Macaca mulatta: one gene and its partners. The protein of the gene in region 6 purifies or fractionates together with the protein of the main gene of each other region. This does not show direct contact. Links are inferred from orthologs where the notes say so. Each region holds a gene or a part of one and is shown on either strand. Other genes may lie near its edges.

Region 1 (4,808 bases), on a different chromosome or scaffold from region 6:
GGAGGCGGAGGTTGCAGTGAGCCAAGATCGCACCACTGCACCCCAGCCTGGGCGACAGAGCAAGACTCCGTCTCAAAAAAAAAAAAAAAAGTATTTTGTCATAGATACACATAAGTCAAAACCAAAAAGTTCTGAGAGGTCTGCCATAAAAACCAGTCCCTTGCCCTCACTCTCCATGGACAACCCTTAGGTTGATCTAGTGGGTATTTGGGTAGTTACCTCCATATATCTAAGTATCTCTAACTATGGAGGTAACTTGCGTGAGCTTCTTGATTTTTCAGTTTTGCTACCTTTCCACCACAGCTCCCTTTCCTGCTCTGACCCCATCGCACACTCTCCCCATTTCCCCAGTGGAAATCCCCAGTTTCATGATATAGGCTAGGTAAGTAGTCAGTGATTACATTATATGTAAAGGGCATTCAACATCCATTTAATAAACTCTTATTCTTCCCAGCTTTTTTATGTCCCTGGTGTTAATAATTACCCTTTCCCACCATGCTTCAGTTTGCCTTTTTTTTTTTTTTAATCTGTTCTTTTTTTTTTTTGAGACGGAGTCTCGCTCTGTCGCCCAGGTTGGAGTGCAGTGGCCTGATCTCAGCTCACTGCAAGCTCCGCCTCCCGGGTTCACGCCATTCTCCTGCCTCAGCCTCCCGAGTAGCTGGGACTACAGGCGCCCGCCACCTCGCCCGGCTAGTTTTTTGTAGTTTTAGTAGAGACGGGGTTTCACTGTGTTCAGCAGGATGGTCTCGATCTCCTGACCTCGTGATCCACCTGTCTCGGCCTCCCAAAGTGCTGGGATTACAGGCTTGAGCCACCGCGCCCGGCCTAAATCTGTTCTTATAAATAATTAAACCCCAAGCTTTTTGCCATTTGTCTAAATCTCAGTACATTTAGTCAGATCAGGTATTCCATCAAATTCCACCTTCCTAAGGAAATCTCTCCCAGTTTTCTGACCTGCCCCAATTAGGCATGTGATCCTCTACAGCTGGGGCACAGTTTATCACCCTGAACATGTACTTTCTTGTGTTTAGGTGAAGCACATCCTCCATTTTGTAAACTCCTTGCAAGTATGAAAATGTTCTGGCCAAATACAGAATTCTAGGTTGAAATCCTTTTCCTTTAGAATACTGAAGACAAGGTCAGGCACGGTGGCTCATGCCTGTAATCCCAGCACTTTGGGAGGCCGAGGCAGGCAGACTGCTTGAGGTCAGAACTTTGAGACCAGCCCGCCCAACATGGTGAAACCTGTCTCTACAAAAACTACAAAAATTAGCCGGGCGTGGTGGCGCATGCCTGTAATCCCAGCTACTCGGGAAGCTGAGGCAGGAGAATTGCCTGAACCTGGGAGGCGGAGGTTGCAGTGAGTTGAGATTGTGCCATTGCACTCCAGCCTAGAGAGGAATTCCATCTCAAAAAACAAAATAAAATAATCTCAGGCCGGGCATGGTGACTCGCCTGTAATCCCAGCACTTCGGGAGGTCAAGGCGGGAGGATCACCTGAGGTCAGGAGATCGAGACCAGCCTGGCCAACATGGAGAAACCCCCCTCTACTAAAAATACAAAAATTATAAAATACAGAAACATTATCATGCATCACCCAATGCAGTAGCTACTGGCTACATGCAGCTAACTGTGCACTGAAATGTGGCTGGTAGAAGTGAAGAACGAATTTTTTTTTTGTTTTTTTTGAGACAGAGTCCCCGCTCTTGTTGCTCAGGCTGGAGCGCAGTGGCGCAATCTTGGCTTACTGCAACCTCTGCCTCTCGGTTCAAGCGATTCTCATGCCTCAGCCTCCTCAGTAGCTGGAATTACAGACATGCACCACCACACCCGGCTAATTTTTGCATTTTTAGTAGAGACAGGGTTTTGCCATATAGGTCAGGCTGGTCGAAAACTCCTGACCTCAAGGGTGATCCATCCACCTCGGCCTCCAAAAGTGCTGGGATTACAGGGTGAGCCACCACGCCCAGCCAAAAACTGAATTTTTTTATTTCATTTAATTTTAACAAACTTAAGTAGCCATGTGGCTGCCATACTGGACATTGCAGCTCTAGAGAAGATTCTTCCTCAAGTATCAGTGTTAAATATTCAGCATGTATTCCCCTAACCCGCTCATACTAAGCTTTTCTTTCTAGGATTCAGCACGCATACCAGAGTCTCAATAAATGTCTTTTTGAATGTTCAAGTTAAGTGGTCATTTTCTGGGCCTACTCATAAAAATCAATCCCATCACCCTGGAGACCCCAAATCAGCCCAGCTGTCCTTTACACACCTGTTTTTCCCCTGCCCCATAACAATGTCTTTTCACCTTAAAACATAACCACAACTGGGTGGAGGAAAAGGTTTTCCCAAGTCCTTCCTGAAGTACAAGGTACCCACAGGTAACACTCAAGGGTGACAAGACTCTTCCTGGGCAGGACACAGTTCTTTTCACTAACCCTGTATCTGATATCAAGCCCTATTTTATCTCACTGAACCTTCACAACAACCTTTTAAGATAAGTATTGTTTTAACCTCATTTTATAGATGCAAAGGCAGACTTGGCGGGGTTAAGCCACTTGTTTTGCATGTCACAGAAATCGACGAGCAGGAACTCAAGCCCAGATCTGTATGAATCCAAAGTCTACACTCAAAGAACATCTGCTGAATACAAAGTTTAACGAAGACTTGGCGTTGGCCCGGGGCTCACAGCGGAGGGGTTTGGAGAGAAGAAGCAGAGGCTCGGTAAAGTGAACTTTTGCAACTCCGGGGTCGGGCAAAGGCCCCGCCGAGCTCCAGCTGCCGAAATCGAGAGGGGAGCCCCGGACTCCTCGAGCTCGCGGTCTGCCTGCGCCGCCCCGGCCGGGCCAAGCCCGCAGCCGTGAGAGTCCGGCCTGAGACGGCCCCGAGACTACGCCCTCCACGGCCACCACCCCCAGCGCCCCTAAACCGAGGAGCGAGAGCGGCCCCACCCGACGGCCACCATCCGCACCCAGTCCCTGGCCCCGTTGGCCCCGCAGCCGCCCGCCTCACCTGCGTGTCCGCCGCCATCCTGCCGGGGCTGACTCCGGAACCGCTTCCGGAGCTCTTCCGGGTCACAGCGAGGCCCACGCGGCAGGGCGAGGCCGGTAGACAGCTGGGGCAGGGCCCCGGGTTGGCGCCACCGGGCGGGACGGCGGCCGCTGCAGCCCGGGCAGCCGGATCACGGGCTTGAAGTTGGCCCGCGCCGGAGCCACAAGGCCTCCTCCCCAGGGCCCTCTCTTCAGCCCCAGGCGCCTCGTGGGAGACTAGCGCTTGTAACGTGGTGAGCCCGCGTGTGTAACGCTATGAGCCCGCCTTGCAGCCCCTGACCCACTTCCAGCCCGCAGGGCCAGCCTTACATGGGCCTTTCCTGAGGGATGACTACGTTCTTTAGAAAAACAAGTGTTGCTTCCTAGATAGCAGGAACTAAAAACTAGGTAAAAGAGTCAGCGAACTAGTCTTTTGTCCTCAGTTTGTAGTTCAGTTGACGGATGACTTGTACAGGGTTAGCAAACATGGGTAGATACGGAGATCAGGGAAGGTTCAGAACTGAAGGAGGCCCCTGCCCTGGGGAAATGCTGGATGCCCCAGGCTGGGAGTTTTGAAGCAGGAGGCTACTTGCAGATGTGGCTGCAATTTAGAGAATAGGGTCCTCACAGCTTAGTTGTCGGCCCTGTTAGCAGTGACTTTCAAACCTTTGACACAGACCTAGTTAGAATGAACATACCATGTTCCGACAGACAGATCTGCAAGTGAAATACAGGAATCACAACAAAGCACCTGTTCTCAGCAGATGCTTTCTCTTTAAATACTGGGGGCAAGCATGGTGGCACACGCCGCAATCCCAGCACTTTGGGAGGCTGAAGTGGGTGGATCAACCTGATGTCAGGATTTCCAGACCAGCCTTGTCAACAGGACTCTCTACTGTCTCTACTAAAAATACCAAAAAAAAAAAAAAAAAAAAAGCCAGGTGCAGCGGCTCACGCTTGTAATCCCAGCACTTTGGGAGGCCGAGGCAGGCGGATCACAAGATCAGGAGTTCAAGACCAGCCTGGCCAACATAGTGAAACCCTGTCTCTACTAAAAATACAAAAATTAGCCAGGTGTGATGGCACATGCCTGTAGTCCCAGCTACTTGGGAGGCTGAGGTGGGAGAACAGCTTGAACCTAGGAGGCAGAGGTTGCAGTGAGCTGAGACTGCCATTGTGCTCCAGCCTGGGTGACAGAGTGAGACTGTCTCAAAAAAAAAAAAACCAAAAAAAAAAAAAAAATTGCCAGGTATGGTGGCAGCTGCCTGTGGTAATTCCAGCGTCTTGGGAGGCTGAAGCAGGAGAATCGCTTGAACCCAGGAGGCGGAGGCTGCATTGAGTGAAGACCAAGCCACTGCACCCCAGTCTGGGCAACAGGGTGAGACTGTCTCAAAAATACAAACTGTTCACCACCTACTGAGTTGGAGCACCATCCAGTTTGAAAAACTGCTCTATGGGACTGGCCCTAGCATCCACCAGGTGCCTATCTCAGCTGGCACTAAACCTACTCTACTGCAGTGGCCATGGAAATAGCAATTCTAGTGTAATACAGTTACAACTGTGTCTAGAAAACCATACAGGATGTTTGACCGGTAGCTTCATTTAGATACAAAGAGGTTACCCAAACATCAACACCTAAATACAAAGCTCTATGGTTTCACCATGGCTTTGGTTTCTAGCATATGGCACTATAAAGCCTCAAAATTAAGGGCCAGGCACACGGTGACTCAAGCCTATAATCCTAGCACTTTGGGAGGCTGAGGCGGGAGGATTCCTTGA
Region 2 (4,238 bases), on a different chromosome or scaffold from region 6:
ATCATAGGCTGTCTGTCCCCTTGTAGTAGTGGTGGGGAGACCAAAGTGTGATTTGATTCTAGTCTTTGCAGATTCATTTAGATTTAGCTGGTAAATTTTCTTTCTTTTTTGAGACAGAGTCTGCCTCTGTCGCCCAGGCTAGAGTGCTGGAGTGCAGTGGCGGGATCTCGGCTCACTGCAAGCTTCGCCTCCCGGATTCAGGCCACTCCTCCCTCAGCCTCGCGAATGGCTGGTACTGCAGGCGCCCGCCACTACATCCGGCTAGTTTTTTGTATTTTTTTTTTTAGTAGAGACGGGGTTTCACTGTGTTAGCCAGGATGGTCTCGATTTCCTGACCTTATGATCCGCCCGCCTCGGGCTCCTAGAGTGCTGGGATTACAGGTGTGAGCCACCACGCCCGACCTTAGTTGGTAAATTTTCTTAAGGAGCAGTTGTAAACTAGAACAGTTTGACAGTAAAATGGGAAAGTGTATCTCTTGAATATGTGGATTACTGATGTTGCCTTGATATAAATAATAGCAAGTAGCTTTATCATTATTATTATTATTAGCATTGGGGGAGATGTCGCTTCCCCAGTTCCAGATACAGATCATTCATGGCCTGGCTGTTGATGGTTAGGGTACTGGGTAGGGTATACAGCAATCCCTGTCTGGGACTGAGGGAGTTTCCAGACACAAGACTTTCAGTGCTAAAACCAGGAAAGTGCTGGACACACAGAGGTATTTGTCACCCTAGTACTGTGTGAAAATTAAGATACCATCTAGCCTAGATTGGGAAAGCAAAACCCTATTATGGAGTGTGTGAAAGCAACTCAGTAAAGGTCAGGTATGTGCACAAGGCTATGGTCTGGGAGCTTTCTGTTTTATTAATGTCATGTAGTATTCACAACAGCTTTATGGGATAGCTGTTCTTATCCCCATTTTACAGTAGGGGGATTCTGGCATGGCGAATGAGACTGTTTGCTGGAATTCAAGCGGTTAAATGGTGATCAGGATTTGAATCAGGCAGTTTAACTCCAGAGCCCATGCTCTGAACTACTACACAACACAGTATCATCTCTCGATTACCTAATTTCTCTCTCAGTTTTCCTTCTGAATAATAGGAAAAATCTGCCTCACAAAGTTGTTAACAGGATTAAAGTAAATGCTTAATATAGTTTCTGTCATATTGGGTGTTCATTAAATGTACTTTGTAAAGCTCACCTTCATAAATGCCAAAGGAGTGGTTCAATTTTTTTGTTGTTTATTGTTATGAACATTTAAAGAAAAGGATCAAGAGCTCCAGTGTCCAGGGAAAACTGAAAGTAATAAAATTTATCTGTTAGAGGATGGCCTAAATTTTGGAAAAGCCAAGAGGCAGTAGGAGGGCATTCCCAGTAGAAATTGCCTCATGGCAGTAGGAGCACAAGACACTAGCACATTTAGCTCACTTGTGAAATTGTTTGAAAAGTTGCACAGTTCTTGTGAGTGGGCCATCTTGTCTTGCACTTGCAGAGGGGAAACATGTAAAGGATGTGAATTTAACTTGTTTAACAATTACATCTTCATAAGGTGATAGTTTTGTGACATTTTGGTAAATCTTTTAAAACTAAATGTTTTGGGTCTCCTGTCTCCCCAGATGAAAAAGAGAGGTTTGACCCTACTCAGTTTCAAGACTGTATTATTCAAGGCTTAACTGAAACCGGTACTGATTTGGAAGCAGTAGCTAAGTTTCTTGATGCTTCTGGAGCAAAACTTGATTACCGTCGATATGCAGAAACACTCTTTGACATTCTGGTGGCTGGTGGAATGCTGGGTAAGTGTCTGGGGTTTGTGGGCTTAATAATTTAGAAAGGTATAGTGTATGGAGATTATGGAGACTCTAGAATATGAACTATTTGGCAAACTTGTTAAAATGGAGTGATTTTTTTCCTTGTGTTGTATTTTGATTTTATCCAACTTTAGCCCCAGGTGGTACACTGGCAGATGACATGATGCGTACAGATGTCTGCGTGTTTGCAGCCCAAGAAGACCTAGAGACCATGCAAGCATTTGCTCAGGTAAATGAAACTTAACATAATTGTTTTCAGTTAGCTACTATCCATGTGGTATATTTGAGGAATATTCTACTTTTAAGAGTTGTGGTTAGAAAGTTGAAGGAATTTGATTTTAAATTTTAGGGAGACTGTTCTTGGTGCAACGGGATGAATTAGAAACTTAAGATGTGTTAAGGTGAATAAAATAGGGAAAAATGAAATTAACTCTCCTGTTCCTATTTGTCCTGAAATTACTCAATTTTTAAGAAAAATGTCAAGCTAAAAAAGTCATTTTCGTATTGTGATTTCTCTAGTTTATCTGCATATATTTATTTTTAAAGTTAAATAAGTTGTGAGCTGATTAGCTTTTTAATCAAGATCTCATTGGAAAGTTTCATATGTAGTTATGTTTGTATTATTTTAAGCAAAGAATTAAAGTACATCTAACCTGGACATTCTTATGTGTCACTAGAAATTCTTCTCAAGCTGGTATAAACAGCTCATAAACTTATATCCAGTGAAAGGTTTACTACTTTGCTATTCTAGAAGTATATGAAGTTACTGAATTCATTTCATGTTCTTCATAGGTTTTTAACAAGTTAATCAGGCGCTACAAATACCTGGAGAAAGGTTTTGAAGATGAAGTAAAAAAGGTATGAGGAATAAGGTACTTTGTGGAAAAGAAAAAAATAGGGTTAGAAGGAGGGAATGTTAAATCCTAATTCTCCCACAGATTTGGGGTAATTTTGTTTGGTTGGTTGGTTGGTTTTTTGGAGTGTCACTCTGTTTCCCAGGCTGGGAGTGCAGTGGCTCAGTCTCTGCTCACTGCAGCCTTCGCCTGCTGGGTTCAAGCAATTCTCGTTCCTTAGCCTCCTGAGTAGCTGGGATTACAGGCATGTACCACCATGCCTGGCTAATTTTCTATTTTTAGTAGAGACAGGGTTTCACCGTGTTGGCTAGGCTGGCCTTGAACTTCTGGCCTCAAGTTATCTGCCCTCGGCCTCCCAAAGTGCTAGGATTATCGGCATGAGCCAGCACGCCTGGCCCAATATTGCATATAGATGCCCAGAAAACCTGATGCGTTTATCAATGACCAGGCACTGTTCGATACTAATTCACTTAATGTTTATAAAAACCCTGTGAGGCAAGTTTTATCATCCACATTTTACATGTGAGGTGCAGAGGTTGAGTAACTTGCCGATCATTCAGCTAATGAGTATTGTAGCTTAGATGTAAACTTGGATGGTTAGATCCCAGAGCCCACGTGTTGAACCAGTAGCCAGTGTAACATGCTTTACTGTTTCTCTTAATGTAATGTAATTGCTGTTTTAACCCTTAACTGTTTTACTTTTTACAGCTGCTGCTGTTCTTAAAGGGTTTTTCAGAGTCGGAGAGGAACAAGCTGGCTATGTTGACTGGTGTTCTTCTGGCTAATGGAACACTTAATGCGTCCATTCTTAATAGCCTTTATAATGAGAATTTGGTTAAAGAAGGTAATCAACCTTAAAGGATGGTCTTTAGTTGACTCAGAGTGGGGTGGGTAAGAGCATGGTTTACTGTTCATAGATGTGACTTCTGTGAAAGTCTTCGTTTATTAACCAGCCTTAAATTTAATAAGTTCAGTCTAATTCACTAGACATTTAATGAATACCTTTGGCATCCAGGTTTAATGGTTTTCTTTAGGAATACAATAGATAACCAGATTTAGACAAAATGTTGTTACATGTAATGCGAATACAATGAGAAATGTTGTGGGAACTCCAGAAGAGATTAATACCAATAGGGAGACTTGGAGAAAATGATGTTGGGGAAAATGTCAAGCTGGAAGGGAAAATCAACTCCCTGTTTGGCTCCAATTGTCAGATTATTCTGTACAGTAATTTTTTTTTTGAAGCTTTTTTTAAACTGCTTACAGTAGTATTTAAGTTGCCTTAGTGTAATTCTCACAACAGCCTTGTCAAGTGTAGAGACTATTGCCCTCAATTTATACTTTAGAAAACACTTTAAGTAACTTGGCCAAGAATATACAATTCGCAAATGGTGTAGACTAGGGAAATTGGAGAAGTGATAAAACTGTGGCCCAGGAAAGTTCAGGGTTAAGTTTGTGAGGAAAGTCCGTAATCCCATGTGATTGAAGTATGAAGGGAAGGATATAGAGGGGGATACAGTGATTGAAACCAGGAAGGTACTTCTGTTAAGTAAGCTATTTTCTTTTACAGGAGTT
Region 3 (4,238 bases), on a different chromosome or scaffold from region 6:
TTATCTTCTTTAAGAGGATCTTTGAGGCTTTTAAGGTACAAGGAGAGCGTGCTCGGAAGGGGCAGTGCCAAACAGGGAAGGGGCTCAGAGGTGGGTGCGAGGCAGCAGTGAACAGGCATGTTTTTAGTGCTGGCTTTAGGAACTGGGAAGGGGCTCAGAGGGCAGGGGTTTCACCTTGTCTGCCTCCTCAGCTCACTGATGATGTGAAGAAAGAGAAGGAGAAGGAGCCAGAGAAACTTGACAAATTGGAGAACTCTGCAGCCCCCAAGAAGAAGGGATTTGAAGAGGAGCACAAGGACAGTGATGACGACAGCAGTGATGATGAGCAGGTCAGGCCCAACCCTCCTGGTGGGAAGCAGGGACTCTGGGCACAGGTGACTGAGATGCATCCAGAGAGGGACCATGGTGAACACTTGCAGAGCTTTGGGGGCTTAAGTTTGGGGTGAGTTGGGCAGTTTCATTCACATCTGAGTCCTGCTCAAAAGAGGTGATTGTTCTGTTCTAGGAAAAGAAGCCAGAAGCCCCCAAGCTGTCCAAGAAGAAGTTGCGCCGAATGAACCGCTTCACTGTGGCTGAACTCAAGCAGGTAAGCCCTGAGAGTATTCTGCAGGCCCTGGATCCCAGCTGGGAGACCACCTGGGGAGCCAGGGAGGTGAAAAGGAGTTCTTTGAAGGAGGTGTGAGTGATTTGGGTTTAGGTCCTTTGAGGAAGAAGAGCTTCAGAACTGAGAAGTCAGGGCTCTCAAGAACATGCATTACTATGTGTTTTCCAGCTGGTGGCACGGCCCGATGTTGTGGAGATGCACGATGTGACAGCGCAGGACCCTAAGCTCTTGGTTCACCTCAAGGCCACTCGGAACTCCGTGCCTGTGCCACGCCACTGGTGTTTTAAGCGCAAGTACCTGCAGGGCAAACGGGGTATTGAGAAGCCCCCCTTCGAGCTGCCAGACTTCATCAAACGCACAGGCATCCAGGAGATGCGAGAGGCCCTGCAGGAGAAGGTGAGAGCCTGCCCTCGGGTGTCCCCATCCTTCACAGCAGTGTGCTTCAAAATGGGAATATGGGTTGAAACCCACCTACCACCTACTTGTTACTTGTCTAATTATCCTTTTGTTTTCCTTCTCTGCTCTTCTTCCCCTCTGCCTTCACGTTGCCAGCTCACCTGGTGACTCCTTTCTCAGATGCACTTTGTGGCTAGGGATTCATGGTGGTTGTGTAACTTCTTAATTTTAAAGCTTTTAGTTAAATGCTCTGAACTTAGGAGGTACAAAAGAACACGGGGATGTCTCTGCCTTCCAGAGAAATGAGGAGATTCATCTCTTGATGAGATGGTTAAAAACTAGTTATTGATAGACACAGCTGAGGCTGATATTGTGGAGTCTGTTTTGTTCAGCATGCATTATGTAATTTTGAAGGGTTTGAGCAGGAAGGATTTTGGTGACTTTCGGGGTGAGATAATTGAGGCTTCCCTTGATCTCTTTTGGAGTTGGGAGCTGGATTCTCTACATGAATTTGGTGAGTACTTGTTAAGGCTTGTCTTCTGCCATTCTCTACAGGAAGAACAGAAGACCATGAAGTCAAAAATGCGAGAGAAAGTTCGGCCTAAGATGGGCAAAATTGACATCGACTACCAGAAACTGCATGATGCCTTCTTCAAGTGGCAGACCAAGCCAAAGCTGACCATCCATGGGGACCTGTACTATGAGGTTTGGGAGGGGGCTGGGAGAGGTCAGGCCGGGCCTTGGGGTTGAGACTGTCTAGGGCTTTTTTTTTTTGAGACGGAGTCTCGCTCTGTCGCCCAGGCTGGAGTGCACTGGCGCGATCTCCACTCACTGCAAGCTCTGCCTCCTGGGTTCACGCCATTCTCCTGCCTCAGCCTCCTGAGTAGCTGGGACTACAGGCGCCCACCACCTCGCCTGGCTAATTTTTGTATTTTTAGTCGAGACGGGGTTTCACCATGTTAGCCAGGGTGGTCTCGATCTCCTGACCTCGTGATCTGCCCGTCTCGGCCTCCCAAAGTGCTGGGATTACAGGCGTGAGCCACCGCGCTTGGCCTTTTTTTTTTTTTTTTTTTTTTTTTTTTTTAAATATGAGGTCTCACCCGTTACCCAGGCTGGAGTGCAGTGGTATGATCTTGCTTCACTGTAGCCTCTGCCTCCTGGGCTCAAGCAGTCCTCCCATCTCAGCCCCCCGAGTAGCTGGGACCACAGACACACCACACCCAGCTAATTTTTTGTATTTTTGGTAGAGACAGGGTTTTGCTATGTTGCCCAGGCTAGTCTCAAACTCCTGAGCTCAAGTGATCCACCCGCCTCAGCCTCCCAAAGTGCTGGGTTTACAGGCATGAACCACTGCACCTGGCCCAGGAGGGCTTCTGAAGCAATTACAATAGTTCCTCAGCCTTAGAATTGCCCATTGACTACCCTTGGATGAGATGGAATTTAAATTGAGGTCCTATTTGGAGGAGAGATGCAGATCTGGTGGCTTCTTTCCCTGATAGACTCTTCATATCCTGTCTTAGAAGTGATAATGATGGTGGGTGGTTTAGGGATGGAGGGGCCAAGGGACAGTTGCTTTTAGGAAACTTTTAATATTGGGGGTGGTAGAGAAGTTGGTATTTTTTTTTCCTGATCCTTGAAATCGTAGTCCCCTTGATGTCATGGAATTTATGAGGTGGAAGAATTTTGCAGATCATCCTGTCGAGTGCCCTCGTTTTACAGATGAGAAGGCAGGTCCTAACGTTGGCTGTGTTCTCATAGTGGGTTATTGACAGCACTGGGAGTCTGGCCTGGTTTTTATTCCTTCCCCGACTTTGGCCAGGGAAAGAAGTGATGAGAATCAGAGTGGGAGCCAGGTAGCCCTCACTGGGATTTTATATCTGATGTGGGTTAGGTCTTCTCGCCTTTGTTTTCACGTCCTCTTGCCATTGTGCTCCCACTGAGTGTCTGGGTCTGCAATGTAGCATGCTCTGTTTTTCCCTCAGGGGAAGGAGTTCGAGACACGACTGAAGGAGAAGAAGCCAGGAGATCTGTCTGATGAGCTAAGGATTTCCTTGGGGATGCCAGTAGGACCAGTGAGTGTCAGTTAGCTGTCTGGGGAAGCAGCGAAGTGGGTGGGGATTGGAGCGGAAGGCAGTGACAGGGATACGGTTTGGCAGATGGTATCCTGTTCTCTTTTTCCTGCAGAATGCCCACAAGGTCCCTCCCCCATGGCTGATTGCCATGCAGCGATACGGACCACCCCCATCGTATCCCAACCTGAAAATCCCTGGGCTGAACTCTCCCATCCCTGAGGTGAGCATTGTCCTTTCATTCATTCTTGGCTGTTTCTGCTTTTGAACTGGAAGGTGATTTTTTTGTTTTCCTTCTCTAACTCCACCATGTGTTTCTTTATTTAAAAAAATTTTTATTGACACATAATATTTGTCATATACCATGGGTATGTGTGGAAAAAACAAGTAATGGTTTTTGTTTTTTAAAAAACTGACATGCTCATCATAAAATATTCAGTCAGAATTGACAAGTACAAAGATGAAAGCAAGTCACAATTTTACCACTCAGAAATAGCCAAATTCACTATTTGGTGAATGTGTTTCCAGATATGTCTCTGAATATAAGAATGGCCAGAGAGAAATAATTTTATCTTAGCCAGATGTGGTGTCTCAACACCTGTAATCCCAGCACTTTGGGAGGCTGAGGTGGGAGGATCCCTTGGGGCCAGGAGTTTAAGACTAGCCTGGGCAACATAGTGAAACCGCATCTCTACTTTAAAAAAAAAAAAAAGAAAAGAAATAATTTTTTTTTTTTAGTTTCACTTCAATCTATCAGAAATAATTTTATCTCAAGAATGTCTTCAAATTTATTCTTATTTTAAAGTAATCATTAAAAAAATTGACAGATAAGAGTCATTAAAGTAAAAAAGTAGTATTGTTAAACTTTAGATAGAAACTTCCGCCCCTTAAGATAAATAGATTCTGAACAAGCTAGCCTTCCAAAGTTAGGAAAACTCAGTAAGAAATTGAAGTCATGTTTTCAACGTACGTATTTTGGTTTCAGACAGCAGAGACTCTGCCATGACAGAAGAGGTTATTAGCATACTTTCTGCCTCCTGTCTCCTTATCCTGTTGCCTCCAGATTTTAGTTGTTTATTAATTTTGGTTTCTAATGCTTCATAACATTTAATTTTATTCTGCAGTCATAATTTCCAGAGTTCCCAAGCGTCAGCTCTGTACTTTTGAGT
Region 4 (3,283 bases), on a different chromosome or scaffold from region 6:
TATTACTGCCCTCTTTTCCAGAGAGAAAAGGCAAGTTCAGACTTGCAGCTTAATATATTTCATGTTCTACTACTTCTCTTAAGTGGTGGAAGATTCACTGGCTCGGGATGGACTGGAATGGCTTAAATGGTTAAGTTGCATGGCTTATGGATTGTCATTCTGTTCCAATGGTGCACTGCCACGTTAAATCCATAAGTTGAACGAACAAAACTTATTTGAAGGAATAAGTGCAGTATAAGGATTTTTAGTTGGAGGTCTTCAAGTTTACTATATTCAAGAGCATCTTTTTCAACTTCATGGCTGGACCTGGGTCATGGTGCCTCAGGTTTTGCTTTTTAAAGACCACTTGCAATAGATTTTCTCCATACAGTGTAGTTTCATAGAACTAAAAACAAGTCAGGCATCCAACTAAATGTCAAGTTTGCAATGGCTTACAGGGGTAAAAAGGGGGACCCCAAACTTAAGCCATTTCCTATATTGACTAAAAGACTAATTTGAAAAAAATGTTAAAACATATGAAGCATGTTTAAAGGTCTTCATCAAAAATGGACTTTGAAAAAAATACCCCCTCCCAAGCCCCAGATCGCCATTGGTAAACAACAGCTTTATTAATAAAGCCTTTAAGTGTCATACATGCTTAAAAAAAAAAAAAAGAATCCAAGTGTTGAATTTGGAAGACTTCTAATATGCTATTGAATATTTCTTTTCTCCAAAAGTTTTTTTAATCTAGAAGGCATTTCCATTGCCTTGAGGTACAGTATGTTTCACTGTACTATGAGGAAGGTAAGTGTTCAATTTCGACTTAGACGGAAAAACTAGTTTGCTTTGCTTACCATCTTTGCTGTTTCACAGGCATTTGATGCTTTAAATCTGATGTGGAATGCTGATAGATTCACTTTTTAGAAGTCATAAGCCTTTAGGAAGTTGGAGATAACTTCATTGCTTATCTATTTTCTCCTTTGCAATCAAGCTGTTCCTTTAAAAGTGAGACACTACAGAGTTGCAAAAATTTGAAACAGTAAGAGCAAGCACCTTTGCAGCTTCATGGTTGGTTTTGGCCAAACTTTTTATTTAGTATTCTGTAGTTGTTTAACACACACTTAAATGGTCTTATTGGGGGAGGGGAAAGGGGAGGTTCTTGCAGATTCCCAAGGAAATGTGAGAAAGGCAAAATGGCCAGCATTATCCATTTGCTTTTTTGGGTTTACTGGGTGAATAGCACTTTCCTTACACAGGCATGTGATTTCAGGTTTTTCATACTGAGAACATTGAGATTTCAGTTGGAAGACACCCTGAAATCTTATAAGTAGCATACCCCAACCACCCTCTAGTAGCTAGCTTGTTTGTATAGGTAGAATGATTCATCTCTCCATTTTAGATGGCTAGATGTTCTGTGGAAGATCTTAGAATTGCTTGCCTCATTTACTGGGAAAAATCAAGATAGGAAGTGGCCTTTAGGGATACTTTTACTTGGAAAGTTGCAACACTAGTACAAGTCTTAACACATTTAACATTTGCTTGTTGAAAAGCAATGTCATAAAGTCAAATAAAATTAAACATGTTTTACTTTTTGCCTCACAAGAACATTTGCTTGTTGAAAAGCAATGTCATAAAGTCAAATAAAATTAAACATGTTTTACTTTTTGCCTCACAAGAACATAAAAATTATGGAGGGAAACTTAACAGGGCATTTAAAAAATGTAACACAATTTTTCCTTTTAGTAGTCCTTGGGTAGTTATGACAGAATAGTTTCCACTTTTTGTTTCTTTGAACTGGGATTTTGGTCCAAAGTTTTGTTTGTTTCTAGTATCTGCTTCTGCCTCCCCCTCTATCAGATCGGCTTCCTCCACGGCCACCACCTCTTGGTGCTCCGCGGCTTGAACTGCTGTAGGAATCACGTGGAGGAGGGTACCCCCTTTCCATAGAAGGGGGAAGCCCTCTGTCTTGTCTGCCAACCCGATCACGACCACTTGAGTAGAGATCACTTCGGCTGCTTGAGTAACTGTCTCGACTTCCACCATATCCGTCACGTGAGCTGCTGTAATCATCATAGCGACTGCTTCCACCATAAGATGGCGGGGGCCCTCGTGTAGGTGGAGCACTACGTGAGTTACCTGCAGGGTCAATGGTCAGGTAATATGGCAACACTATAAATTGTATATATACAACATTTTAAATCTGAATTTACAGAATTCTTGTATTAAAAGTTTACTTTCTCAACTGGGTGGGAGGTTTTAAACTCTGCCATTGCTGGCCATAACAGGGATTTGCTCATCTGCTGAGATATGGAAATGGATTCATTTTAATGTTTGTTTGAAAAGACTGAAGACGGTGTGTATTTCAAGAGGATATTCCAGAGAGCTTGTTATTTTATAGTAGACACTCAGCCACTTTCCAGTGATAAGTTGCAATTTTGAACTGTAGAACTTGCCTTCATATTGCAATGGTAAATATTTGATCTTGTTAATAAAATTTTTAAATTGTATTTTCACTGTTGGGGGAAAACACATAAGGCTGCCAATTTAAGCAAGCAAAATCCCCTCCAAAGCAAGCAAACAGCCTCAAAAGAAACTTAGAAAAACAAAAAAAAAGCCCCTCACAAAACTAGGAAAAGCCCAGCTGATAAAGTTACCCCTTTAAAAGCAAGCAAACATCCCTTTAAAAAGCAAGCACCACGCAGCCTAAAAAACTGGCTCACGAACCTAAAAACTCAAGCTGGTGATACTCAAGACCCTTAACCAGTATCTTACCATAACTCTCATATGAATCTCTGTAGGAACCTCCACTTGGATGATCTGAATAGTCACGATCACGACCATATCCATCTCTATCGCTAAATTAAAGAGAAACCTTTAAGTCCCAGAGCATCAACTTTTATAGCAACTTTTCTTACATGCAAGCCACAGAAGCAGTCACTTACCTATAGCCTCTTGATGGATAGTCATCACGTGAACTGGAATGACCATAATCACGGTAAGTATAATCTCGTGGTGGTGGTGCATAATCTCTAGTATCACGAGAACTTGGGTAATCTCTGCTTGAATAGCTACAAACACAAAAGTTTTGGTTCATGCTTTTGATAAGCTTTCCTTCAACCTTAATTATTAATTTAAAAAGCTGCAATTTTCTATTACCTGTCTTTAGTAGAATACCCATCATCTCTTGGGGACAAATAAACATCTCTACGAGAGGGCAGTGGCTCCCTTCGAGGTGGACCTCCGTAACTATCTCTTCCACGTGATACAGGAGCTTAAGGAAAATTACATCACTTTTTTTAAACAC
Region 5 (5,005 bases), on a different chromosome or scaffold from region 6:
ACTAAAAGTACAAAAATTAGCCGGGTGAGGTGGCGTGCACCTGTAACCCCAGCTATTAAGGAGGCTGAGGCATGAGAATTGCTTGAACCTGGGAGGCAGAGGTTGCAGTGAGCTGACAGTGCACCACTACACTCCAGCCTGGGCAACAGGAGACTCTGCTTAAAAAAAAAAAAAGGTACAATTTACTATATGTAAGTGAAATGTCAATGACAGTGATTTTTCTAAAAAGCAGTTATTTCTGTGGAATAGAAGTGGACAAGGTAGGGCAGAAGGTCAGTAATTACATTAAACACCTCTTTCTTTCTTCTTTATAAATGAAATAGAGACAGGATCTTGCTATGCTGCCCAGCCTGGTATCAAACTCCTTCTTGGCCTCAAGGGATCCTCCTGCCTTAGCCTCCCCAAGTGACATTAACACATGTGAGCCACCATGCCCGGCCATAAACACTTTTCTGTTCCGTTTGATTTTAAAACCACACGCGTATATGAGAGGAATTGAAAAAGTACATGAAAAATGTGCATTATGAAAAAACTATCCATGCATTTCAAAAATATTTTGCACTGAAATAAACTCATACTAACTTGTTATAACGTGTCTGAACAAGATCTAGTGTGAGGCACTAAGAAGGATTAGACATCAATTTGAAAAGAGTCCCATGGGAGCAACACGAATTCTGCTAAAATGGAAGCAACAATGAACACCAAATTCAAGGTGAAGCTTGGGTGGAAGAAGGGTGAAATCACCAATGCTTTATGAAAGAAAAGTATATGGGGACAATGCTCCCAAGAAACCAGCTGTTTACAAATGGATAACTCGTTTTAAGGGACAAGGCCAGGCACAGTGGCTCATGCCTATAATCCCAAAGACTTGGGAGGCAAGGCAGGAGAACTGTTTGGAGGCCAAGAGTTCGAGACTAGCTTAGGCAAGATGGTGAAACCCCATCTCTACACAAAATTAAAAAAAAAAAAATTAGCTGGGCACGGTGGCATGCACCTGTAGTCCCAGCTACTCGAGAGGTTGGGGTGGGAGGATCACTTGAGCCCAGGAGTTAGAGGTTGCAGTGAGCTATGATCGTACCACTACACTCTAGCCTGAGAGACAAAAAACGAGACTGTCATTTAAAAAAAAAAGACTACGGCCCGGTGCAATGGCTCAAGTCTGTAATCCCAGGACTTGGGGAGGCCGAGGTGGGCAGATCACTTGAAGACAGGAGTTCAAGACCAGCCTGACCAATATGACAAAACCTCGTCTCTACTAAAAATACAAAAATTAGCTGGGCGTGGTGGCACACGTCTGTAATTGGGAGGCTGAGGCAAAAGAATCGCTAGAACCCGGGAGGTGGAGGTTGCCACGAGCCGAGATCGCGCCTCTGCACTCTAGCCTGGGCAACAGAGTGAGATCCTGTCTAAAAAAAAAAAAAAAAAGAAAAGCCCTAGTAAGTATACAAAGCGACAAAATGTAATACTCAAGGGCACATATGTTCGGCCAGGCGAGGTGGCTCATGCCTGTAATCCCAGCACTTTGGGAGGCCGAGGCAGGAGGATCATGAGGTCAGGAGATCGAGACCATCCTGGCTAACACGGTGAAACTCCATCTCTACTAAAAATACAAAAAATTAGCTGGGCATGGTGGCGGGCGCCTGTAGTCCCAGCTACTTGGGAGGCTGAGGCAGGAGAATGGCGTGAACCCGGGAGGTGGAGCTTGCAGTGAGCCGAGATCCTGCCATTGCACTCCAGCCTGGGCGCCTGGGCGACAGTGCGAGACTCCGTCTCAAAAAAAAAATGTTCAAATGCCCCATGGAAGAAGGGAGGAGTATGAAAAATACCAGAAATCTAAATGTAAAAAAAAATGTGGGGGTGACTGGAGAGTAGGCTGAGAGTATGCTGTGGATGGGAATGGTGGCAGGAACGTATGCTGAGTGGAAGTGAACAGCCCAGGCAAAAAAAAAAAAAAAAAAGATGGTGCCAGTATGGATGGAAAGAAGCCGGTGGGCTTGGTAGATCTACGCGGAGGTACAATACACTTCGCTTGGTGAGGAACTGGACGCCCAGGTGATGGACAATGTAGGAGGAATGATTTCTCAATCTCTGGTTAGCACTGAATTGAACAGATAATGGTACCATTCGTGGAGATAGGGATCAAGAGGCCCAGACTTAGAAAGATAACGAATTTGCTTTGGGATATGTATATTGAACTTAAAAGCCTCTGAAGCATGGAATAAGCAGATAGATTATAGAAGTTTGTCTTTTAGAGTAAAGGTGGCTCAGTACAAAGAAATTTGTCACGCCTGTAATCCCAGCATTTTGGGAGGCCGAGGCGGGCGACACAATGGAGGTCTGGAGTTCGAGATCAGCCCGGCCAACATGATGAAACCCTGTCTCTAATAAAAACACAAAAAAGTAGCCAAGTGTGGTGGCGCACACATGTAGTCCCAGCTACTCGGGAGACTGAGGCAGGAGAATCGCTTGAACCCGGGAGACGGAGGTTGCAGTGAGCCGAGATCGCGCCACTGCACTCCAGCCTGGGCGACACAGTGTGACACTCACACAGTGAGTGTCGCCCAGGCTGGAAGAAAAAAAAAAAAAAGAAATTGCCTTTGGGAGTCAAGAGGGCCTAGAGGGAGCCTTGAGTCAACAAAAATTTACAAAGAGGGGCCTGCAAATAAGACGGGGATAGACCCGCCAAGCTGAGCCACTAAAACCCAAGGAAGAGGGCGTGAGCAGAAGAAGCAGGGCTCAAAAGCAAACGCTGCTGAGAACTCAGGTAAGCTGAAAACGGAAAAGGGCTGGATTTAGCAACTTGGAGGACACTGGTCCCTTGAGCCAGGGTTTTCTACAGCGATCAAGGGGATGCCTGGAGTGGGTTAAAGAGTTGATGAGAGGCGAAGAAAGGAAGTGGCTGAAACCAGACAAGAAGTTTGGCTGCGGGGCAGGAAAGGAGAAGAAACAGAAAGTGGCCGCAGGTGAAAGATCCAGAAAAAGGCAAGCGTTTATTTACTTTGTTCTTAAGTAGGAAAAACGTGAGCGTGTTTCAAAGACGATCAGAAGAATGCTTTGAGGAGGGGGTGATGACACTACACGGGGGCTCGGCGAGTCCCCACCGCCCCCCGCCTTCTCCTCCCCTCGCGTTCATCCCCCGTCGCCCCGGGCTCCCCTCCCCCTCTCCACTCCGCGAGGCTCGGGGCCGCAGCCACCCGCACCGCCGGCCCGGCCCCCGGCACCTCCTCACCGCAATGGCCCCCTCGCTCAGTTGGCCGACCATGGCTCCGCCGCCCCGACTCCCGCGCGGACCCCGCGACAGCTGGAGCTTCCCCACCGGGGTCCCGCGCGCTGCGCAGTTATTGGCCCGAGGAGTTGCGTGCGCCGCTCCCGCCCCCGACGTGCGCGCGGCCCAGGGGCGGGCCCGGGCGCTGCGCAGCCGCCACATTGGCCGAGGCGCGGCGCACGTGACTTGCTCGCGGGCCCAAAGGAGGCCTGGCGCGGAACACGGGGCGCGGGGCGGGGCGCCGAGGGGCGCGCCAGGAGCTGCGCGGGCGCGGGGAGGGAGTCCGCGGCCCAGTTCCGGGCGCCTGTGAGCGGGCTCACGAGGCTTTCTCGCCTCGGTTTCTGGCCAGTGCACGGGTTGGTAGCCCAGAGGAGGTTAAAGCTGTTCCCTGAGACCTCAGCTGCTAAATGGAGTCGCAGCAGTGACCCGGTTCCTCCAGCAACGCGGGGCTGACTTCTCGACCGGGGCCAAACCCTGAGCTTGGCACCGTTGAGGGGGGGGTCTCCGAAGGGGAATCAGACCTGGTCCCTGTCCGTGGAGAAGAGGACAGTGTGTGGGGGCACTTTATGCCGTGAGTAGCCCCAGCGCCAGGTAGACGTGGTACAGGCCCCAAGAGTGTTGGAAATCAGGGAAGCCTTCCCAGAGGACGTGCCGTTTGAACCGAGTCGAAGAACGAACCTGTGGGAATTTTCCAGGTGGACTCCATAAGCCAGGGTAGGATTGGTCCGGAAAGCACGAATAGCCTCTGCCAAAACCTTGGAGAGATGAAATAGCCTGGCAAGCCGGGGATCGCAATGAGTAGTTCAGTATGCAAGGCTGCAGAGGAACAAGTGAGACCTGAGAATTAGAAAGTCAGCCAAGGGTCAAGTAAGGACGGTTTTGTCCTGGGCTTCCTGATATGCTTGGAGTAGCGTTGATGAATTTAAGGCAGAGCACTGACTTCTGTCTCAGTGTTGGAGGCTGGATTGAAAGTTGGGGGGGGTGCCAATGGCATGGACACTAATTATGACACTCTAGGAAGAATGCCAGACGAGATGGTGAGGACTTAAACCGAAGGAATGACCTGGGGGTTGAAAGAGAACGCTGAACTATATGAGAGAGAGAAATACCTGTTAATTGAATAGTTGCTGGGGTGGGTGAGAAAGAAAAATCTGGGGAAGTGTCTCAGGTTTCAGACTTGAGAAACTAGGGGGATCAGGCCGGGCGCGGTGGCTCACACTTGTAATCCCAGCGCTTTGGGAGACCCAGGCTGGAGGATCACCTGAGGTCAGGAGTTCGAGACCAGCCTGGTCAACATGGTGAAACCCCATCTCTACTAAAACTACAAGAATTAGCCAAGAGTAGTGGCGCACTCCGTAATCCCAGCTACTCCGAGGCTGAGGCAGGAGAATTGTTTGAACCTGGGAGGCAGAGGGTGCAGTGAGCCGAGATCGTGCCACAGCGCTCCAGCCTGGGGGACAGAGCAAGACTGTCTCACGCACAAAAAAAAACACTAAGAGGACACGGATGATAGCTATCTAGTCTGCTTCCTCTTTGTATAACCATCACCTGCATGGTGCCTGTCACAAAGTAGTCTTTCAGTAAATATTTCTGAATGGAAGGATGTTGAGTGAATTGCTGTGAGAGAATATAGATCTTTCCTTAGCATGTAAACTAGAGGAAAAGACCACAAGAATTGATTTTATTGCTTTAGGCTTCCTTGAATGAAATCTTGATTTTCCTTTTTTTTTTTTGACACAG
Region 6 (4,238 bases):
TGACTGTTTACTCTTTGAATCACTTCTTAACTTTTAGGTACTTTTATGAATAGGTTAGTTTCACTGGTGGCTGGAATCTGTCAAAATTGAGTCTGGTTTTTTTAGTCTTTAAAAAAATTTGGTTTTTTTTTTAAGACAAGGCCTCACTCTATCACCCAGGCTAGAGTACAGTGACATGATCACAGCTCACTGTATCTTCCACCTCCCAGGCTCAAGTGATCCTTCCACCTCAACCTCCCAAGTAGCTGGGACTACAGATGTGTGCCACCATGACTGGCTAATTTTTTATTTTTTGTAGAGAGGTGGGTCTTGCCATATTATCCATGCTGGCCTTAAACTCCTAGGCTCAAACTGTCCTCCCTTTGCCTCTCTCACAAAGTATTGGGATTACAGGCGTGAGTCACCACGCCTGGCCCTTTTAGTCTTTTCTAGTGAAAAATTTTGTTTTTATTAAGATGAAATTAAAAGAAAAAACTACTGATCCTTTCACTTGATGGGATAGATACACTTTTATAAAATCTTTATGTTTTAGAAGATAGCAGATTTTCCCTATTTCTTGAGAATTTTAGTTTCTTTAAATCTCATATCTGAATATTGTAGGGAAAGTATTTTATGGTTGTCAAGGATTTTTAAAAGTTTTCTGCTCTGTTGACCTTTAATTTCTGTTGATATGAATTGTTACAAAACAACAGCTATCGGCCATTGTAAAATAGGATTTTCTTAGATGTACTCCATTGTATTTATTCCTCAAATTAGGACTTTGCTTTAGGTAGGCTGTACAAGTAAAGAGACGGAACAGGAAAACTATTGATTTGGAAGGAGTACTAAGTGGGGGAGGCAAGAAAGACGCAGAAGGGGAGGAGGTATTCCTGGAGCTTTGAAAGACTGCTTCGAGCCTGTCTTTAGGCGTCTTAATCATGTTTAGATGTTGCTTGTCAGTATTAAAACAGCCTTTTTAAAAAACTTGTGAATTTTAAGAATCATGACAATTTAGTAAGTTTTAAAGGGAAATTTAAATACTATATTTTAATATTATTTCTTTCATACACATTGTCCTTTTTACATACTTGTCATACTTTTTCCTATGTGCACACACATTTTCATTGAATGTTCATAATATAGGAATAGTTTTTCTTTTGACATTATGTGGAATGTTTTGCTTATCACAGTCTTCATACTTATATGTTTTAATATTTAGTACTTCAATTACTTAGGGTATGTTATTAATAATTTTATTGCTATTCTGAGTTTGCTTTTATCTTGAATATAGTAAGTAATGGTGTAGGGGACCACTTAATGCATATTGTTTTTGCCTTTTTTTAGTTCTTTTCTTTTCTTTTCTTTTTTTTTTTTGAGATGGAGTCTTTCTCTATCGCCCAGGCTGGAGTATAGTGGCAGGATCTCAGCTCACTGCAACCTCCACCTCCCAGGTTCTAGTGATTCCCCTGCCTCAGCCTCCGAGTAGCTGGGATTACAGGCACACGCCACTACGCCTGGCTAATTTTTGTATTTTTAGTAGAGACGAGATTTCGCCATGTTGGCCTGGCTGGTCTCGCACTCCTGACCTCAGGTAATCCACCCACCTTGGCCTCCCAAAGTGTTGGGATTACAGGCGTGAGCCCCTGCACCCGGCTTTTTTAGTTATTTTCTTAGAAATGAGGTTGGTTTGTTCAAAGGGTATGAGTATTTGTATGAATTTTAATGTTTTTGCCTATATGTAACTTACAAATGTCTTTTCTACCTTGATCCATGACAGTGAAAAAGAAGGAAGAGATAGAAAAAAAGACAAACAGCATTTGAAAAGGAAAAAAGAATCTGATTTACCATCAGCTATTCTTCAAACTAGTGGTGTTTCTGAATTTACTAAAAAGAGAAGCAAACTAGTACTTCCTGCCCCTCAGGTAATCTGATAAAAGCAAATTTTTCACTATGTGAATTTATATGCTTATATCATTTATTCAGCAAATGTTTGAAGGCCTGTGTGCCAGGTTTGTGCTGGATGCTCTTAAGAAATTCACAGTTTAATGGGTAAGACACACATAAAAACAAGTAATTGTGGGCTGGCTGCGGTGGCTCACGCCTGTTATTTTAGCACTTTGGGAGACCAGGATGGGCAGATAACCTGAGGTCAGGAGTTCAAGACAACAGGAGTTCCTGCCCAGTGTGGTGAAACCCTGTCTCTACTGAAAATACAAAAATTAGCTGGGCGTGGTGGCACACACCTGTAATCCCAGCTACTCAGGAGGCTGAGGCGGGAGAATCACTGGAACCCTGGAGGTGGAGGTCGCAGTGAGCCAAGATCGTGCCTCCGCACTCCAGCCTGGGTGACAGAGTGAGACTCTGTCTAAAAAAAAAAAAAAAGAAAAAGAAAAACCCACAAGTAATTGTGATATAGTATGATAAGATAGCTTCAGCTTCTCTGTATAAATTATTGTATCAGGTCTTAAACTGCTCATATGATGGTTTGGTAAGTAATCGTCAGCTCTTAACATTTTGTCAACAGGTTAGGATTTTAGGCTTCTTTTTTGTAGCTGACAAGGGTAAAGGTGTGGTTTGGCTTTGTGGACTTTAAGCTACCTTCTCCCAGGGAGTGTTTTGTTGTGTTTTGCTTGTCTTTTTTGAGACAACAGTTACGAAAATCAATGTAGGAGTTGTGGAGAAAAGATACAAACATTCTTTCATTCAGCTTGTTACAGGCTGTTTTCTTTTTACTTATTCTAGTTGATCAGAAACATGGGACCTTAGAGTAACCTTTTTTTTTTTTTAATGAAACTGAGTCTCGCTCTGTCGCCAGGTTGGAGTACAGTGGCGCCATCTAGGCTCACTGCAACCTCTGCCTTCCGGGTTCGAGTGATTCTCCTGCCTCAGTCTTCTAAGTAGCTGGGACTACAGGCGTGCGCCACCATGCCCAGCTAATTTTTGTGTTTTTAGTAGAGACAGGGTTTCACCATATTGGCCAGGATGGTCTCGATTTCTTGACCTCATGATCTACTTGCCTCGGCCTCCCAAAGTGCTGGGATTACAGGTGTGAGCCACTGTGCCTAGCTAACCTTCTTTTTTTTCTGTTTTGAGTAGTACAGCTTTGTAGAATTGGACAGATTTAATGGTGCAGAAGAAAGGACTTAGGAGACCAGAAGAACTCTTTCCCCCTGTGAGCACATTGGCTGCATCAACACAAGATTCTTGGGCATAAACTAATTTTGTCGTATCCTGACATTCCTAGTGGGGATATTTATTAAATTGAAATTTTGTCTTTAATTTTTTTCTTAGTACACCTTAGGATATTTATTTTGGTAAAATTACTAACACAACACCTTTAGATTTTCTTAGGGATCTTGTGGCTCACTGGAGTATTTCTGTGTGATATTTTAATTGGTTTTCAGTCTTCCTCCTCCAATTTTGTATAAATACTGCTATTTTACATTCTTGGTACATTGATACGTTGATTTGAAAGAATTTCAGTATAGAGATACAGCCTTTGTAGCTTGATTTTATATCAAATGTGAATTTTCCCCTCACATTCTGTAAGGAAGACTTTCTAAAGCTATATTATGGAAACTTTCAAAGCCACAAAAAAGATGAGTACTACCGAGAACCCCTGATACTAATCACACAGCTTTAGCAATTCGTTTTTCTGGAATGTGGAAATTTAAAGATGTGTCAGCTCTCAGTTAAAATAGGGTTTTTTTTTTTTTTTTTTTTTAAAAGACAGTTTTGCTGTGTTGCCCAGGTTGGTCCCGAACTCCTGGGCTCAAACAGTTTGCCCTCCTCGGCCTCCCAGAGTGTTGGGATTACAAGTGTGAGCCACTGTGCCCGGCCTCAGTTAAAATGTTGCTTACTATAATTGTGTCCTTTTAGATTTCAGATGCAGAACTCCAGGAAGTTGTAAAAGTAGGCCAAGCGAGTGAAATTGCACGTCAAACTGCCGAGGAATCTGGCATAACAAACTCTGCTTCCAGTACACTTTTGTCTGAGTACAATGTCACCAACAACAGCATTGCTCTTAGAACACCACGAACACCAGCTTCCCAGGACAGAATTCTGCAGGTAAGGTGTCACGTAGTAGAATGAGCCTTTTACTTTGTTTATTGTCCTTAGAAGTATCATGCAGGAGAACTAAGTGGTTTGGTTGTGTTTCTTTTAGTGTAAATGGTTTGAAACTGAGTCCTGAATGCATAGATCTTGCAACATTTCTGTAGTAGAGAAGCTAAATAGATTCAGCAATAAGTTTTATTTTC
Region 7 (4,238 bases), on a different chromosome or scaffold from region 6:
AAATGGCCCTGAAGAGAAAATGTGCTTGGTATAGTTGAGTATAGGCCGAGGACAGTGTGGCTGGAGAAGAGATGGTATGAGAAGGAATCAAAAGATATGGAAGGTGGGGACACGGATCACATAATGTCTAGTTAGCTAAAATAGGTCTTTAGATTTTACTCTGAGCAGTTGAAGGTTCTGAATCAGAGTGACTTATTTTTTAAAAAAATAATTGGCTGCTATAAAATGGTATATTACAATAGTTTAGATGAGATGGGGGTGGCTTAGTATTTTTCCAATGCAGATCCTATAGGATTGGCTGAGGAACTGGACGTAAGTATCGAGCAAAGGAGTCAAAGGTGACAAGGTTTTTAGCCTGAGCAGTTAGAAGGATGGTATTCCATTTACTGAGACAGGAAAACTAAGGATTTGGTTTTAGACTTATGTTTGAGATACTTAACTAGATATCCAAGTGGCAAATGTTAAGAGGGCAGTCAGACATAAAAGTTGAGAGTTCAGGGGAGAGATCAGGACTGGAGATTTAAAGGTATAGACCAGATGAATGGGAGATCATTTGGGAATTGAGTGTAGAGATATTGGAAAGAGATCTGACGAAGGAGTCCTAGAATGGGCCAGTATTTAGAGGTTGGGAAGGTGACAAGGACCCAGCAGAGACAGCTAATAAGGAAAGAGAGAACCAGAAGAGTCTACAGTCATAGAGTCTACAGTCATAGAGGCCAAATAGTTTCAAGAAGGATGGAGTGATTAGTAACTGTTTGAATGCCACTGAAAGGGTGACTGGGATGACAGCTGAAAATTGACCATTCATAATATACTTTCCATAGGCTTGTATAGGAGTAAAATTTCAATTGTGATATTTAGGAAGAATCAGACTCCTTTACTCAGTCCCAAGCTCTACATCAAGATTTCTCAACCTTAGCATAATCGACATGTTGCGCTGGATAATTCTTTTTGTTATGGCGGGGCTTTCCTGTATATGTTAGGGTATTTATAAGCCTCACCCCCGCCTCTGCCCACTAGATGCCAGTATCTTCTGATTAACTGAGTTTTTGTTTTTTTGGTCAACTAAATCTCACATTGTTTCAAAACTGGAATGGTGAAAGTGAAAGCATACCTACCTGAGCATTGTGAAGATGTATCGTGGACTAGCGGAATCCTTGCCACCATGTAGCCTGGTACCAAACTGACCAATGGGCTGCAAGAGGTTCAGATTATTGCTACCCACAAAATTCTGAGCCAAATTGATAATGGTCATCATTAGTGACATCTGTGGGGAAAAAAGATTCATTAAGTTGAGGCTTTTACTAATACAAATACATTATTATGACTTAATCTCACTATAATCCTGTAACATTTTGTGAGGTTTAGTTGTTTAGTGACTTTCCTCAGATTAATAGATGGCAGAAGTAGTACTTGAACCTACAACTTCTGGCTCCAAGTTTAGGGCTGCCGTCCAACAATTTCTACTAAGTCCCACTCAACTTTGAAGGCATAGCTCCTCTCCTTATCCCCAGCAAAACGAAATACTTCCTCCTTTGTGTTACAATGCTGTGCTCATTTCTATTCTAGCATGTATCACTTTATTCTATAGCTGTGTGTGTATTGGCCCTCTGGCTAAATTGTTATATCTTGGGGATAAGGAACATATTTTATTTTTATTTATCTTTGTATACCTGGTACATGGTAGGCATTCAACAAATGTTCGTTGGGTGAAAATTTATTGTATCCCTACTATATTTTGATTGAAAGCAACAAGACAACCATTATATTTAAAATTCTAGAAACCTGTAGGCAATCTAGTGCTTTAAAACTGTTTTACCTAATTAATGCAAAAAGCAATCAGAAAACATTGGTGTAAAGTCAAACAATTCAGACACATATAAAAAGTGAAAGTTGCCTTTTCCAATTCCCAGGGGTAACTAAAGTGAACAATTTGGAACATATCCTTGTAGACCTTTTTAGTTATTGTTCTGCCTCTTTTTCTCCTCACCTGACAATAGACCATGAATATTCCTCAGTGTCAGTGTACACAGTTTTACTGAAGCTATAGCACTGATTCTATGCATACATGTGTCACAATTTATTATAACAATTTTCAAATCAGTGGAGGTCTAAATTTTGACATCACAAAGTTATAATAAACATACTAAGTATCTTTTAATGTAGACCTTTGCAGACTTATGAGTATCCCTGCAGGAATACTACTTTCAGAAATCAAAGAGCAAGCAGTTTTATTGTTTGACAGATTTTACCAACTTGTTCTTTACTATGAATATATGAGCTTATACTTTCACCAAATCTATTTTGAGAATGACTCTGCAGGGATTTCTGACATAATGCTTTCTGGAAACATGGATTGTATGTTTACCTCACCATGATGATAAGAAGACATTTCAGCCACTGATCCAGCTAACTGGGCAACCTTTACCTCTCGCTTGTCATTCCGTTTGAAGCAAGTAAACAAAACCTTTCTCTGACCTGGTTTCAAACCTTTAAAATGAAATAAGAGCAAAAACATAAGTATCTTCAATTTAACCATTTTTGGAATTTGATTTCCATCTTACAATGAAAACAGACGAACAAATTGGAACTCACCATCCACCATAGAAGGGATAGATCTCTCGTTATCAGAATTTGAGAACAAGATAAGTTCCTTGTTGATGAAGTCATTATATGTCAGATATGTGGTAGTTTGTCCATACAAGTAATCCTGAAGGACCAAATAGTATTACATGAGACCACCAGTCTTAACAATGCTCAACACAAAAATCAAACAGAAACCTTTCAGAACTAAGAATTATTTCTGTAATTCTTAAGTCTTTTTTTTTTTTTTTTTTTTTTTTTTGAGACGGAGTCTCGCTCTGTCACCTAGGCTGGAGTGCAGTGGCGTGATCTCGGCTCACTGCAAGCTCCGCCTCCCAGGTTCACGCCATTCTCCTGCCTCAGCCTCCGAGTAGCTGGGACTACAGGCGCCCGCCACCACGCCCGGCTAGTTTTTTGTATTTTTAGTAGAGACGGGGTTTCACCATGTTAGCCAGGATGGTCTCGATCTCCTGACCTCGTGATCCGCCCGTCTCGGCCTCCCAAAGTGCTGGGATTACAGGCTTGAGCCACCGCGCCCGGCCAAGTCTTAAAGAAATATTGAATAATACATAAATATTTTATGTTTTAAAGATAAAGCAAATTTAACTGCTGCACAATTCTATCATATCAAATTTTTTACTAAAATAACTATTCAGTAAGTTTAATTTGCTATAGTATCAATACAAAAAGGTCAGTCTAACAGTCCATTCTGTGGGATATATTTAATACTTTTACCTCAGGAAGTCCAAGTAACTTTCGTTGTCTTCTATCCTCCATGAAATTAGTTAACCATTCCTTTCGATCATCTATCTGTTTTTTGCTAAAGGCCTATAAATTAAAGGATGAAAAAGATGTCAGTGATACTAATAGGCTCCAAAATATCCTTCTACAAAGAAGGAACAAACAACAGAAAAACAACAAAAATCCTGTTTTCCTTTTTTTTTTTTTGAGACAGTTACTGCTGTCTTGCCCAGGCTGGAGTGCAATGGTATCATCTCGGATCACTGCAACCTCCGCCACCTAGGTTCAAGCGATTCTCCTGCCTCAGCCTCACCAGCCCCTGGGATTATAGTTGCCTGCCACCACGCCCAGCTAATTTTTGTATTTTTGTATTTTTTTGAAACAGAGTTTCACTCTTGTTGCCCAGGCTGGAATGCAATGGTGCGATTTCGGCTCACCACAATCTCCACCTCCCGGGTTCAAGTGATTCTCCTGCCTCAGCCTCCCGTGTAGCTGGGGTACAGGCGCGCCCCACCACGCCTGGATAATTTTTTGTATTTTTAGTAGAGACGGGGTTTCTCCATGTTGGTGAGGCTGGTCTCGAACTCCCAAGCTCAGGTGATCCGCCTGCCTCGGCCTCCCAAAGTGCTAGGATTATAGGCGTGGGCCACTGCGCCCGACCTTTCTTTTCTTTTTTTTTTTTTTTGAGACGTAGTCTTGCTCTGTCGCCCAGGCTGGGGTGCAGTGAGTGGCGCAATCTCGGCTCACTGCAAGCTCCGCCTCCCGGGTTTGCACCATTCTCCTGCCTCAGCCTCCAGAGTAGCTGGGACTACAGGCGCCCGCCACCTCGCCTGGCCAATGTTTTTTTTTGCTTTGTTTTGTTTTTTCTTTTGTATTTTTAGTAGAGACAGGGTTTCACTGTGTTAGCCTGGATA

Evidence for each region.
Region 1: the proteins of CDC5L (region 6) and GCN1 purify together in Homo sapiens (affinity purification with mass spectrometry; 3 studies listed by BioGRID and IntAct, with this or other methods). This does not show direct contact. The link is inferred for Macaca mulatta from reciprocal best matches to the Homo sapiens genes CDC5L and GCN1.
Region 2: the proteins of CDC5L (region 6) and BZW1 purify together in Homo sapiens (affinity purification with mass spectrometry; 3 studies listed by BioGRID and IntAct, with this or other methods). This does not show direct contact. The link is inferred for Macaca mulatta from reciprocal best matches to the Homo sapiens genes CDC5L and BZW1.
Region 3: the proteins of CDC5L (region 6) and SF3B2 purify together in Homo sapiens (affinity purification with mass spectrometry; 3 studies listed by BioGRID and IntAct, with this or other methods). This does not show direct contact. The link is inferred for Macaca mulatta from reciprocal best matches to the Homo sapiens genes CDC5L and SF3B2.
Region 4: the proteins of CDC5L (region 6) and RBMX purify together in Homo sapiens (affinity purification with mass spectrometry; 3 studies listed by BioGRID and IntAct, with this or other methods). This does not show direct contact. The link is inferred for Macaca mulatta from reciprocal best matches to the Homo sapiens genes CDC5L and RBMX.
Region 5: the proteins of CDC5L (region 6) and RPA1 purify together in Homo sapiens (affinity purification with mass spectrometry; 3 studies listed by BioGRID, with this or other methods). This does not show direct contact. The link is inferred for Macaca mulatta from reciprocal best matches to the Homo sapiens genes CDC5L and RPA1.
Region 7: the proteins of CDC5L (region 6) and TOP2A purify together in Homo sapiens (affinity purification with mass spectrometry; 3 studies listed by BioGRID, with this or other methods). This does not show direct contact. The link is inferred for Macaca mulatta from reciprocal best matches to the Homo sapiens genes CDC5L and TOP2A.

Annotation. Positions count from the first base shown.
Region 1 is NC_133416.1:127,488,924-127,493,731, forward strand, and holds the start of GCN1 (stalled ribosome sensor GCN1), read right to left. Parts: upstream 3,047-4,808; 5' UTR 3,031-3,046; coding exon 3,013-3,030; intron 1-3,012. UniProt on the Homo sapiens protein: Ribosome collision sensor that plays a key role in the RNF14-RNF25 translation quality control pathway, a pathway that takes place when a ribosome has stalled during translation, and which promotes ubiquitination and degradation of translation factors on stalled ribosomes.
Region 2 is NC_133417.1:105,914,685-105,918,922, forward strand, and holds part of BZW1 (eIF5-mimic protein 2), read left to right. Parts: intron 1-1,617; coding exon 1,618-1,794; intron 1,795-1,943; coding exon 1,944-2,038; intron 2,039-2,601; coding exon 2,602-2,667; intron 2,668-3,371; coding exon 3,372-3,507; intron 3,508-4,233; coding exon 4,234-4,238. UniProt on the Homo sapiens protein: Translation initiation regulator which represses repeat-associated non-AUG (RAN) initiated translation probably by acting as a competitive inhibitor of eukaryotic translation initiation factor 5 (EIF5) function.
Region 3 is NC_133419.1:8,353,067-8,357,304, reverse strand, and holds part of SF3B2 (splicing factor 3B subunit 2), read left to right. Parts: coding exon 1-35; intron 36-191; coding exon 192-329; intron 330-505; coding exon 506-586; intron 587-772; coding exon 773-1,000; intron 1,001-1,555; coding exon 1,556-1,705; intron 1,706-2,982; coding exon 2,983-3,072; intron 3,073-3,184; coding exon 3,185-3,292; intron 3,293-4,238. UniProt on the Homo sapiens protein: Component of the 17S U2 SnRNP complex of the spliceosome, a large ribonucleoprotein complex that removes introns from transcribed pre-mRNAs.
Region 4 is NC_133426.1:143,215,607-143,218,889, forward strand, and holds the end of RBMX (RNA-binding motif protein, X chromosome), read right to left. Parts: intron 3,251-3,283; coding exon 3,136-3,250; intron 3,048-3,135; coding exon 2,922-3,047; intron 2,835-2,921; coding exon 2,752-2,834; intron 2,116-2,751; coding exon 1,805-2,115; 3' UTR 1,049-1,804; downstream 1-1,048.
Region 5 is NC_133421.1:3,377,130-3,382,134, reverse strand, and holds the start of RPA1 (replication protein A 70 kDa DNA-binding subunit), read right to left. Parts: upstream 3,352-5,005; 5' UTR 3,263-3,351; coding exon 3,230-3,262; exon of another isoform or gene 3,222-3,229; intron 1-3,221. UniProt on the Homo sapiens protein: As part of the heterotrimeric replication protein A complex (RPA/RP-A), binds and stabilizes single-stranded DNA intermediates that form during DNA replication or upon DNA stress.
Region 6 is NC_133409.1:137,702,153-137,706,390, reverse strand, and holds part of CDC5L (cell division cycle 5-like protein), read left to right. Parts: intron 1-1,756; coding exon 1,757-1,901; intron 1,902-3,858; coding exon 3,859-4,047; intron 4,048-4,238.
Region 7 is NC_133421.1:64,783,850-64,788,087, forward strand, and holds part of TOP2A (DNA topoisomerase 2-alpha), read right to left. Parts: intron 3,412-4,238; coding exon 3,319-3,411; intron 2,711-3,318; coding exon 2,596-2,710; intron 2,491-2,595; coding exon 2,369-2,490; intron 1,268-2,368; coding exon 1,119-1,267; intron 1-1,118. UniProt on the Homo sapiens protein: Key decatenating enzyme that alters DNA topology by binding to two double-stranded DNA molecules, generating a double-stranded break in one of the strands, passing the intact strand through the broken strand, and religating the broken strand.